Linked DNA regions of Macaca mulatta. The protein of the gene in region 1 interacts with the protein of each later gene in a pairwise test. Links are inferred from orthologs where the notes say so. Each region holds a gene or a part of one and is shown on either strand. Other genes may lie near its edges. The genes, in order: CTBP1, NOL4 and CRY2.

The links.
Region 2: the proteins of CTBP1 (region 1) and NOL4 interact in binary tests that used the Homo sapiens proteins (3 or more experiments, as listed by UniProt). The link is inferred for Macaca mulatta from reciprocal best matches to the Homo sapiens genes CTBP1 and NOL4.
Region 3: the proteins of CTBP1 (region 1) and CRY2 interact in binary tests that used the Homo sapiens proteins (3 or more experiments, as listed by UniProt). The two-hybrid records come from large-scale screens. The link is inferred for Macaca mulatta from reciprocal best matches to the Homo sapiens genes CTBP1 and CRY2.

Annotation. Positions count from the first base shown.
Region 1 is NC_133410.1:1,299,732-1,303,381, forward strand, and holds part of CTBP1 (C-terminal-binding protein 1), read right to left. Parts: intron 1,661-3,650; coding exon 1,454-1,660; intron 1-1,453. UniProt on the Homo sapiens protein: Corepressor targeting diverse transcription regulators such as GLIS2 or BCL6. Has dehydrogenase activity. Involved in controlling the equilibrium between tubular and stacked structures in the Golgi complex.
Region 2 is NC_133423.1:58,247,873-58,251,622, forward strand, and holds the start of NOL4 (nucleolar protein 4), read left to right. Parts: upstream 1-1,362; 5' UTR 1,363-2,635; coding exon 2,636-2,899; intron 2,900-3,750.
Region 3 is NC_133419.1:19,770,901-19,774,650, forward strand, and holds the start of CRY2 (cryptochrome-2), read right to left. Parts: upstream 2,477-3,750; 5' UTR 2,464-2,476; coding exon 2,249-2,463; intron 1-2,248. UniProt on the Homo sapiens protein: Transcriptional repressor which forms a core component of the circadian clock.

The DNA.
Region 1 (3,650 bases):
GCGCACACACACACACACGCTTGCTGCTCTGAGCTCAACCTGGGCCTGGCTGTGTGGGGCCTGCTCACTGCTGCATGCTGGACCCAGGACGGTGCTGGGCCCAGGACAGGCGGCTGCAGAGCGAGTGGGCAAATGAAGAGCAAGGGGTCGCTGAGGGGCAAACCACTCCCCGGGCGCAGGGCCGGCTGCTGGTGACAGCGGAGGAAGCCCGCGGCTGCCCGAACCCCAGCCCCAGCAGGATCCACGCAGCCAGCCCCAGAGGCCTCAAGGGGTGAGCGCGTGCTAGACCGTGGTTGATGTGTGTGCCCACACGTATGCCCGTGTCTGTATGCCCATGTGCCCATGACTGACACCGGTGTGTGTCCACGTGGTATCGTGTATGCTGTGATATCCGTGTGATGCCCATGTGTGCCGTGTGATATCCATGTGTGCCGTGACATCTGCATGTCCCCGTGTGGCCCGTGTGTGCTGTGACATCCACATGTGATGTCTGTGTGGAGTTCACGTGTGTGACGTCCGTGTGATGTCTGCGCAGGCCTGAGGCCCATGTGTGTGCTGTGTGAGGCTGTGGGTGCTATGACGTCTGTGTTGTCTGTGTGTACCTGTGTAAGGCCCACGTGTGTGTTGTGATGTCCATGTGTGATGTCTGAGGCCCACACGTGTGCTGTGGCATGTGGGACATCAGTGCAGGCCTGTGTGAGGCCCACATGTGTGCTGTGACATCCGTGTATGATGTCTGTGTGTGCAGTGATGTCTGCGTGAGGCCCATGTGTGCTGTGGTGTTCTATGTGATATCTGTACAGGCCGTGTGTGCTATGACGTCCATGCAGGCCGGTGTGAGACCCACGTGTGTATTGTGATATCTGTGTGAGGCTATGTGCTGTGACATCCGTGTATTATGTGTGTGCCCTTGAGGTCCATGTGTGTCCTGTGACGTCCATGTGTCATGTCTGTGTGTGCCCATGCGGTCATGTGTACTGTGGCATCTGTGAGGCCACGTGTGCTGTGGCACATGTGCCATCCGTGCAGGCCTGTATGTGTGCTGTGACGTCCGTGTGTGATGTCAGTGTGTGCCGTGCTGTCTGTGTGAGGCTCACACGTGTGCTGTGGTGTTGTGATATCTGTGAAGGCCAGTGTGAGACCCATGTGTGTGCTGTGATGTCTGTGTGAGGCTGTGTGTGCTGTGACATCCGCGTGTGCTGTGACATCCGCGTGTGCTGTGACATCCGTGTGTGCCCGTGTAAGGCCCACGTGTGCTGTGACGTCCGCGTACGTAGGGCACACAGCCTGGGATTCCTGGGCCCTGGCGCCTGGGCTGCACTCAGTCCTGTCCTGGGTTGGGACCGACACCCGCAGCCCCGCCCCGCCCTGGGCCTCTCCTTCTGGGCACGGCTGAAGAGCAGCAGCGCCAGGCACAGGGAGGGTCACGGGCATGGAGCTGTGGCTGACGCACCGAGTCCGATGATGCCCAAGGTCTCCCCACGGATCCTGGCGGCGCCGGACGCCACCTCGCGGATCTGCTCGACGCTCTGGACTCGCGTGCCCTCCCGCAATGCCTGGTGCAGCCAGGTGGCCCGCCGGTACAGGTTCAGGATGTGGCACAGCGTCGAGTCGGCCGTCTCCTCCACAGACGCCGCAGGCACGTTGCAGACGGCGATGCCTGTGGGGACAAGGACACGGCGGTCACCTCCAGGCCAGGCCCAGCCTCTGGGAGGACACCAGGGCTACTGTGGCTGGAGCAGGTTTGAAGCTTCCCGAGGAAGAAGCCAAAGGCCACGTCCCCAAGGCCACCCTGGGAGGCCACGAAATGAACGCACATCTCCCAGGCTCGGGGGCAACAGAGCACCTGGCCTGGCGCCTGTGCCCTGTGGCTGGAGCCCCACCTCCACTTTAGGTTCACGTGGCAGCACACGCTCGCAAACTGCTCGGTGTGTGGTGGGGCCAGGGCGTGAGACGCTGCCCTGACCCCTCCCAACTCAGCATTGGGAGCCCAGGCAGAGACAAGCACATGTCTCCCCGCGTCACCTCGCTGCCCTGATTCCTCCAGGGGGACCCTGCGGGGAGGCTGCGGCCAGGTCAGAATCTGGGTGCTGGCCCCACCTGCACACCCCTACATGGACATCCGCACATGTCCTCAGGCCTCCCCCAGGCCAAGCCAGGCCCCCGCAGTCCCTTCCGCCCTCCATGCCCTACACCCCGCAGTCAATAACACTGCAGCTGGAGCCATTCCTAGAAAGCAAATCCATCCCATTTCTCTCGAGTGTAACCCCTACTGCCCGCTCCCAGCCTTGTCCCAGAGGCAGGCCCTTCCCCGGCCAGGGCCCCTCCCTGAGCCTATTTATCCTCATCCCTGGCCTGTCCCTGGCCAGCGCCTCCCCTGCACGGCACTTCCCGCCCCATTCAGATGATTGCACTCCTGTGACTGGCCGTCCAACTGGCCGTCCGTCTCTCTGGGGAGGAGGAAGGGGCAGGAGGCCAGGACAGGGCTGCATTCATATGCCCGGAGGCTGGACAGGACCGTGTGGTTCCGTGAGGGGTTCCGAGGGTCGGGAGGGGGCCTGACGTGGGGCAGCGCGGGCAGGCGCTGCACAAGGCCAAGGCTGGGATCCCACATCGCCCCAGACACAACTCACTTGGACGTAAAAACGTTAAACAAGGGAGACTGAGGGAGAGCCAAGCCAAGCACCACACGAGATTGGAAGAAAGGCCTCCTGACTGTGGGACGTTGGAGTGTGGGCCAGATCCCAGCGGTGCCCCAGACTGTCCCTGGCTGAAGAACAGAGCCCGGGCCTGGGAAACTCCATGGGCAACGGAGATGGTAAACAGCAGGGGTCGCTCAGAAAGCACCAGGCCTGCACCCGACACCGCACAGCCAGGACTGCACCCAACACCGCACAGCCGGGCCTGCGCCTGACACCACAGCCGGCCTTTCCCAGGATGCCGCCACAGAGACAAAGGCGGGAGGCGGCTGGCACACGGCTTTGGCCCATGGGCACCGGCGGAAGCAGCAGTGAGCCGAGATCGCGCCACTGCACTCCAGCCTGGGCAACAGAGCGAGACTCCGTCTCAAAAAAAAAAAACCAACAAAAACAACCCACAACAGACGGAGCCTGGCAGAAAACAAAGTGCGCTCCACGCAGGACGGCCAAGCACCGCCCTGAGTTTGTTCTAATGAGTGCGCATGGGTGCAGACACGTGGGTACGTTCCGTGTGCGTGTGTAGGTGCATGGGTACGGACGTGCGTGTTCTGTGAGTGTTCCATGTGCTGAGTACATGAGCATAGGTGCAGACACGTCTGCGTGTTCTGTGTGCTGTGTGCGTGTTCCGTGTGCTAAGTGCACGTGCACGGGTGCGGACGTGCGTGTCCTCTGAGTGTTCCATGTGCTGAGGGTACATGAACGGGTGCAGATGCATGTGCATGTTCTGTGTGCTGAGTGTGCACATTCCGAGTACTTAGTGCACGTGCATGGGTGCAGATGTGTGTGTTCTGCGTGCTGACCACACGTGCACGGGTGCAGATGTGTGTGCATGCTCTGTGTGTTGAGTGTACATGTTCTGTGTGCTGAGTGCACGTGCATTGTGCTGAGTGCATGTGCACGGGTGCAGATGTGCGTGTTCTGTGTGTGTGTTCCACGTGCTGAGTGCATGTG
Region 2 (3,750 bases), on another chromosome or scaffold:
GAATGACTACCCCAGGACCAATTATCTTTCCAGAAACTTCCAGGAAACACATGACCAATATCTAACTAAATCGAGCCCTAATGCCACAAAGGGAAACTTAACAGAGTTGTTCCTGTGAAGTATACCCCACTAGAAGGGTGGTTCAGAATATTCTTCTGTCCAATTGCGTGTTTCAAATTATTTATGTATTTAAGATATTGAGATTTTTTTAACGTGAAATATCTAAAGATTATTGTTCACCTCAATAAATTGAAAGTGATATTTTTCCCCTGTGTCCCTTGTATTAGATTCACTTGTGACTTATTGGACAGTGTCTTCTCTGAGCTCTATGGTCTAGTATGTATTGAACAAAAATTCAAGGACTGAGAACAACTGATTTATTTTAGTACTTTTTTAATACAAAAGAAGGAAATAAAAGAATAAAAGCAGTCGGGGTGGCCTCTGGAGAAGGGGAGCTGTTGTTGCAGGAATCTTGCAAGTTAATGAGAATTCACCCGGGACTCAAGAGCAATGGAGAGAGGGGGAGAAAGGAGGAGATGGGGGAATGGGGTGGGGGGATAAACTCTTCCTTTGCAGCTGGCCCTCTCCCTCATTTGTTGCTCCAATAAGCAGTAATTAGGTCCTGAGCTAATGGTGTCAGCTGATCTGCTGTTTTTAGGCTAGACCCAGAGGAATCTCCATGGAAACCCTGCTGGAGTCGTCCCCCCACCTGGATGCTGCGTGCTCCTTTCCGCCACCTGGCTGCCGTCGGGCCCGCTGCTACCTCCTCCTGCCTCTAACCTGCAGCCTGCAGCATGCGCACTGCCCCCGGGATCCCTAAATGGGACAATTCTGCCCGTGACGTCAGCGCCCAGCCGTCTCCACAGAAACTTTTGTCCCATTGGCCAATCAGAGAGCTTGGAAGGGGCCGGGGAGGGTGGGGGGAGGAGAGGGGAGTGGGAGGGGTGGGGGTGAGGGGAGAGGCGAGAGGTTTAGTGTGTGGTGCTGCCTGCGCTCCGCCCGGGCTGTCAGTCCCGGCTCCAGCCGCCGCGAGACCTTCCCGGAGACGCGCGCACACACAGCGCACCCCCTGCACACCGCACACCCTCGCTCCCTTGCTCACACACACGCACACACTCATCCTGGCCGAGCAGGAGCCACTGACCATTTTGCAAGTGCCAGGACCAGCTACAGCGCAGTGGGCGCAAACATCCCGCGTTCCCTTTCCGGGTTTCAGTCTGGGAGACGACGACGAGGAAAGAAGGTGGGCTCGGGCGCAGCCCAGGCGCCGGGCACTAGTCGGGCCGTTTTCCTGGCAGAGCCGCTCCCTGGGACGGGCGCGGGCCTCGACTGAGAGTAGAATAAAGAGGAGCGGCCGCAGCCGCCGCGCGAGGAGGATGGGAACTCCCCTATTTCCAGCTCTGGAAACAAATGGATGGAAGTCCTGAATGGAGCAACTGCTGACTTCATCTGCTTGGAAAAATAGTCCAGAGGAACTCATATTTGGCTACTCAGAGCAGTGGAGGGGGTGTCCATGACGTGGCAGGGGGAAAATAGGCAACTGAAACCTCCCGTGTGAACTGCAAACTGTGACCAAGCAAGGGGAAAATGATCTTTCTCTATATATTTTAATTTCCTGCAAAGGGTTTCAAGCATCTGCATCCTAAACTTACTTCTATGTCTTGTTCAGCAGAAACCAGAGGAGTCCTGTCTGGGGGTCCCATCATTATCCGGGAGACCCGCCACCAGCGGCCTGCCTTCCGTTACCCACATCCCCCTGGAACGGATATCTGTTTGGGGCACTACAATCTATCCTGTAGAACTATGGCCAAATCTCCATCAATGCTTTGCTAATTTCTGGGACTTAACTCGTAGAATCTACATACAGGGCTGGAATTTATTCCAAATGCATCTGAAGAAATGAGATTTTAAACCGTTTTTTAAAATATCTTCATAAAATAATTCTGTAAAACAGATTTTGATAGGTTTAAAAACATGACAGGTAAGAACTTTCTCTCTTTCTAGTCCCTTAACACCCGTCGTGGGGAAGGTCAAAGCAGGACCCAGGAGGAAGGAGAGATCCGGGACCCGTGTGCCCTTCGGGCTCGCAGGCGCTGGGCCGGCGGCTGCTTTCAGGAGAAGCGCAGCCCTCACTCCTGGAACACGGGGCCAGTGGCTGGGGAAGCTTCTGGGGCGCGCGCGGGGAGGCGGCGCTGCGCTCCACCTGCCCAGCCCCGGACGCAGCCCGGGGGCGAGGCGTCTAGGGACCACCCCAATTCAATATTGGGATTTTTAATAAACCAAGAAGTGGGATTTCAATTATTCAAAACCCAGCTTCTCTGGGCCAGAATGCTGTTGGGATGGTCCTGGTCACACAATATTAAAGAGACCGATCGCTAAGGGAACAGAAAAAGCGTCCGAGACAGCCGTTGCAATTACGAATGGACCAGACTTGGTAGCACAGGGCATTGATTGCTGGTGCCCAACCGGACCCTCCTCCCCTCTCCCCATCCCTTCCCCCACCCAAAGCAGGCTCCCGCGGCGGCCGGGACCTCGCATCCCTGCAACGTGGCCAGGGCTGCATTTTACATGAGCCCAGGGTGAACAGGTGCGAAGTGCGCTGGGAGCATCCGGCCGGCGGCCGGGCGCGGGGAACATGGAGAGCGAGCGCGACATGTACCGCCAGTTCCAGGACTGGTGCCTCAGGACTTACGGGGACTCAGGCAAGACCAAGACGGTGACCCGTAAAAAATACGAGCGGATCGTCCAGCTCCTCAATGGCTCCGAGTCGAGCTCCACGGACAACGCCAAATTTAAATTCTGGGTCAAATCGAAGGGCTTCCAGCTGGGCCAGCCGGACGAGGTCCGCGGGGGAGGCGGCGGCGCCAAGCAAGTGCTCTACGTGCCTGTCAAGACCACGGTGAGTGACTCGCCTTCCTCTGTTATTTGTCTGCCGGAGCAACCCGGCGGGGAGGGAGGAAGGAGAGAGGCGGGAGAGAGGGGGAGCCGTGAGCCGCCGTTGGCTCGTGTGCCCCCTACCTTCCTCAACCCCCTCCCCAAGTCGTCCCCACTCGCATTAGCCAGGCGCGTTTTCCCCACTGTGGAGTCTTTGTGGTCCTTTTATTTTAAAGCGGCAGCGCACCTCCAGAGCTGGCCTGCCTCCCCACCTCGGGCTCCCGGACCGGCTGCTGGAGCTTCCTTCCCCGGGTCGGGCGGCGTCTAGCGTCCCCGGGCTGGGCCATTGTCCCATGTCCTTCTCTGGGCGCCTGGCGCGTGTCCCACCGCCGCCACCGCGCATAAAGGCCAGGCTGGAAGCCCGGCCGCACGCTCTGAGAACAGACAAGTCTGATCGATAGTCTACAGTGTCTCCTTATTGGCATAAAGCCCGAATGTGGCGCTAGCGGTGGATGTGGGGTTTTCCCCAGGACACCGTCAGGTTTTATCGTTAGATCGCCGCCCAGGAGGCACGGGGCAGCCCGAATGCCTCGATCACTCCCAGAGATCGCTGCCGCGACTGTTGAGATTGTAGATAAGGTCCTGAGAATTCCTCCTCCCCGCCCCCCATTCCCTTCCTCACTTCCCTCTTCTACAAATAAAGCCGCAGCTAGAAGATGAACAACAAAGAGAGATGGGTTTAGGCGCTATCGAATGGTGTGTGTATTTGTTCCTCTTTCTGGGTTGGCTCTAGTCTCATGGCCACAAAGCTCTAGCCCAGGCGCCGTGAGGCACTGGCATTGAGAGCCCAGTGCATCTCAGCCTCACGCTGCGGAA
Region 3 (3,750 bases), on another chromosome or scaffold:
GGGAAAGGGGTTGGGCACAGTGGTTCATGCCCTGTAATCCCAGCAGCTTGGGAGACCAAGGTGGGTAGATCACCTGAGGTCAGGAGTTTGAGACTAGCCTAGCCAACATGGTGAAACCCTGTCTCTACTAAAAATACAAAAAAATTAGCCAGGTGTGGCAGTGGCCACCTGTAATCCTGGCTACTTGGGAGGCTAAGGCAAGAGAATTGCTTGAACCTGGGAGGCGGAGGTTGCAGTGAGCCCAGACTGTGCCATTGTACTCTATCCTGGGCAACAAGAACAAAACTCCATCTCAAAAAAAAAAAAAAAAAGAATTGGGGGAAAGGGGCCCAGGCATCTTTTAAAGATCCTTATGGGATTCCAATACATAGCAGCCAAGATTGAGAACCACTGCTCTAGTCTGTCCCCTTATCTTATGTTTCTCATGGCACTTCGTTTCACTAAATTATGGTTGTTTGCTGGTCTTCTTTCAATAAAATGTAGGCTCCAGGAGTTCTGGAGCACAGACACATCTGTTTATTCACTGCTGTATCCCTAGCAACATCTAGAGCACTACCTGGCAGATATTAGGCATTCATTAAGTAATCAATTAATATCTGCATTCCTACACAGCCTCTGACTTCAGGATTTGACTCAGGCATCTAAGCCACATTCCTTTTCTCCTTCACTAGATTGACAGCACAATCACAAAACGATAACCCACAAAAATCCATAAACACCTGGTTCCTAGCAAACTGGAGTTTAATCAACGGGAATTTTATTGTTGATTTTTAATCTCCCCTATCAAAAAAGAGTAGGTAGTACTAGGCAGTGTCCCCCAAAACCCAATAAAAGAAGAAACTCTGTGACAATGTAACAAGAAGGTAGTCGGATTCCATTTGGCTGGCTCTGACTGGTGCAGGGCAGTCTGAGGCTTGGCTTAATGTCCACACTAGGGATGGTCATTTGATGATGCTTGTCAAACACAACCTCCTATCTGTAGAAAACTGGAGCAGAGACAGAGCAATAAGGCAGCCTGAAAACTGTGGGCAGGCTCTCCACAGGACTCTTTAATTGTTCCTTCTATATAAACTGGGCAAGAGGGGACACTGAACAGACCTACTGCTAGGAGCACTCACTCTCTTAGCAGGGTACACACCTTGGAGAGAAAAGAATGGTGTGCCGAGAGCCACGGTATCCTGGAAATAACCCTGTCCATCAGTGCAACAAGGCCACAAGCAAACATTCCCCAGAACAATGTAAACAAACCCAGCGACTGCCACTAGGTGTTCTGAAGAGCGATGGGTACATGATGTCTCAAAACTCTTTAATTTGAATACTGCTTACAAAGAAAATACATTAACGACCTGTTCATCTTTTTCCATGATCATGTCGACTCCATCTCCTGGGGGGTCATCAGAGGGGCCCTTGATATCATGGCTTTCCTGCTCCCTAACCTTAGCACAACAGTTCATAGAAGTCTCATCTCTAATGGCTCAACTGTCCTCTAAAATCATGACAAGAGGATGACGGGGTGACACTTTGGATCCTTTTAAATTTTTTTTTATCGAGGTCAAAGCTCCAGAGCAGGGCTTAAACCATTTTGGAGAATCCCCTGGATTCTCTGGAGCTTTGAACACAACGCGATTCCACCTGAAGACACCTTTGGCTTCTTTATTTATAACATAGGGGAGAAGACTTTATTTAATGCTAAGCCAGGGTCACCTGACACCCCTAGAGGCAGGACGGTCTGGGCGCAGGGAAGCCAGGATGGGTGGTAGGGCGGATTCAAACAAGCCAGAGGCTTAGGAATGATCTCCCCGAGCCCAGCAATGGGCTCTTTACTTGAAGAATGCGAGCAAAAACCCGTCCCGCCCTCACACCACAGTATCTCCCTTCTGCCCCTCCCTGAGTAGACCATAAGAGCCCTAGACCAGGAGCCCCTGTTCCGCCACTCACTGGCTGCAAGTCCTTGGACAGGTCGACTTTGGGTCTCCAGGACCCAAGGGTCTCATCTGTACAACGGGGATCATGATCTCCGTTCCACAGGCAGTTGTGAGGCTCAGAGGGGTAACAGTGCGAACGCGCTTTGTCAGAGGCTGAGCCCTGGCCCACCGGCGCGTTAGGACCATGACGAATTACTTCCCCGGTCTCGGCTTCTCCACGGCCTCCCAGCCGTGGAGAGGTTGAGAGAATCGTGCTGTTCGCCGGTCACCCCAGGGTCAGGGTCCTGGCTGCGTCCCCGCCACCCCGCCCCGGGTCCCCTCACCTCCATCGGTTGATCCCGACTGAGGAGGAGGCCGCGAACCACGGGTCGAGAATGTAAACGCAGCGCACGCAGCGCGCCCCGCGCACGGCCGCCAGCAGCGCCGGGTTGTCGTGGAGCCGCAGCCCTTTGCGGAACCAGTGCACTGAAGAGGCGCCGTCCGTGCCGGGCGCTGGCGCCGGGGCCACAGCTGCCGCCGTCGCCACAGTCGCCGCCATGACTGTCCAGACTGCTCCGGCCACCCCCGCTCCGCCCCGGTAGGCGACGCGGACCCCGCCCACAGACCGCCCAGTGACCTATGACGCCGCAGCTCCTCCCTTCGTCCCCGCCCCCAGGGCCTTAGAGCTCCTGTGCCATTGGCTGAGTGCCTCCCGCCCGGCGATTGGCCCAGAGACGCCAGAACAGGCCCCGCCCCCTCACGTTCCTACCATGTGTGGGTCCGCCTGGGTGGAGCTGGCAGGCGGACAAGTGACGCAGGCTGGCACAGTCCGCGGAGGGCCGGGAGTGGGCCGAGTCTCGAGGTACAGCGGATCTCTTACACATGTCCTGTTCAGGGCCTGCTTCTAGAAGAAGCTGCCTGGGCTGGTAGGGGTTGCTGTGACTACAGTCAGAGACTTGCAAAACTGACAACTGACCTTCCTATTATCACCAACATCGTCACCAGCATCATCTACATCATTCTACTACAACTGCCATTTATTAAGTGCACTTTATATGGCAAGAGACATGATCATCTCCTTACATAGTCGGTCTCATTTACTATTCTGAACTCAGCCCAGTTACATTCATTTAACGAACACCAGTGGAAGAGCTGCTGTTATTTTTGTTTTACAGATGAAGAAAATGGAGGGTGCCGCAGGTTGAGCGACTTGCTCAGTATCATAAAGCTACTAAGAGGGATTTCACCCAGATTATTCTGATTTTGAAACTTCTGCTTTTATCCACGAAGCTATACTTCTCTTTGTGCGAAGATCCTTGGTAATTCCAAGTGGCAGAGTCCAAGGATGGAGAAGGAGTGCCCTGATACGCAGCATTAGAGGATTTGGGAGTAGGGACTGGGAATGTGGAGGACTTGAGCTCGTAATTATGCCATCAGATGAATTTATTTTCTTTTAGTCTGTTTAGTAGATCCAGTGGTACTATTGTGTGCAAAGCACTGTACTGGATTCCGGGTGGGGTTCAGAGATGTGGGGGACACTGTCCCCATTCTTCTGGGACGCCAGGTGGAACCCTCTTATTCCTCTGGCGTCTAGCATAGAGCTTGCTGATTGACTGACTAAATGGCAAGAGAAGCTATAAACACCAGCAACAAGGTGTTGGGGAAGGCTAAGATGGCTTAGTCAAGCTGCAGCTTTGGGGTTATCAGGTGGAGAACAGTCTGTTTCAACTTGGCCCTAGGTTGAGCCCATGCTTGGAACCCTTCCTGGACCTGGGACAGTGTGATGAAAGCATTTAGCAATTTAGTCTGCAATTTAGTGGCATTAATTGGCACCACTCTCTAAACC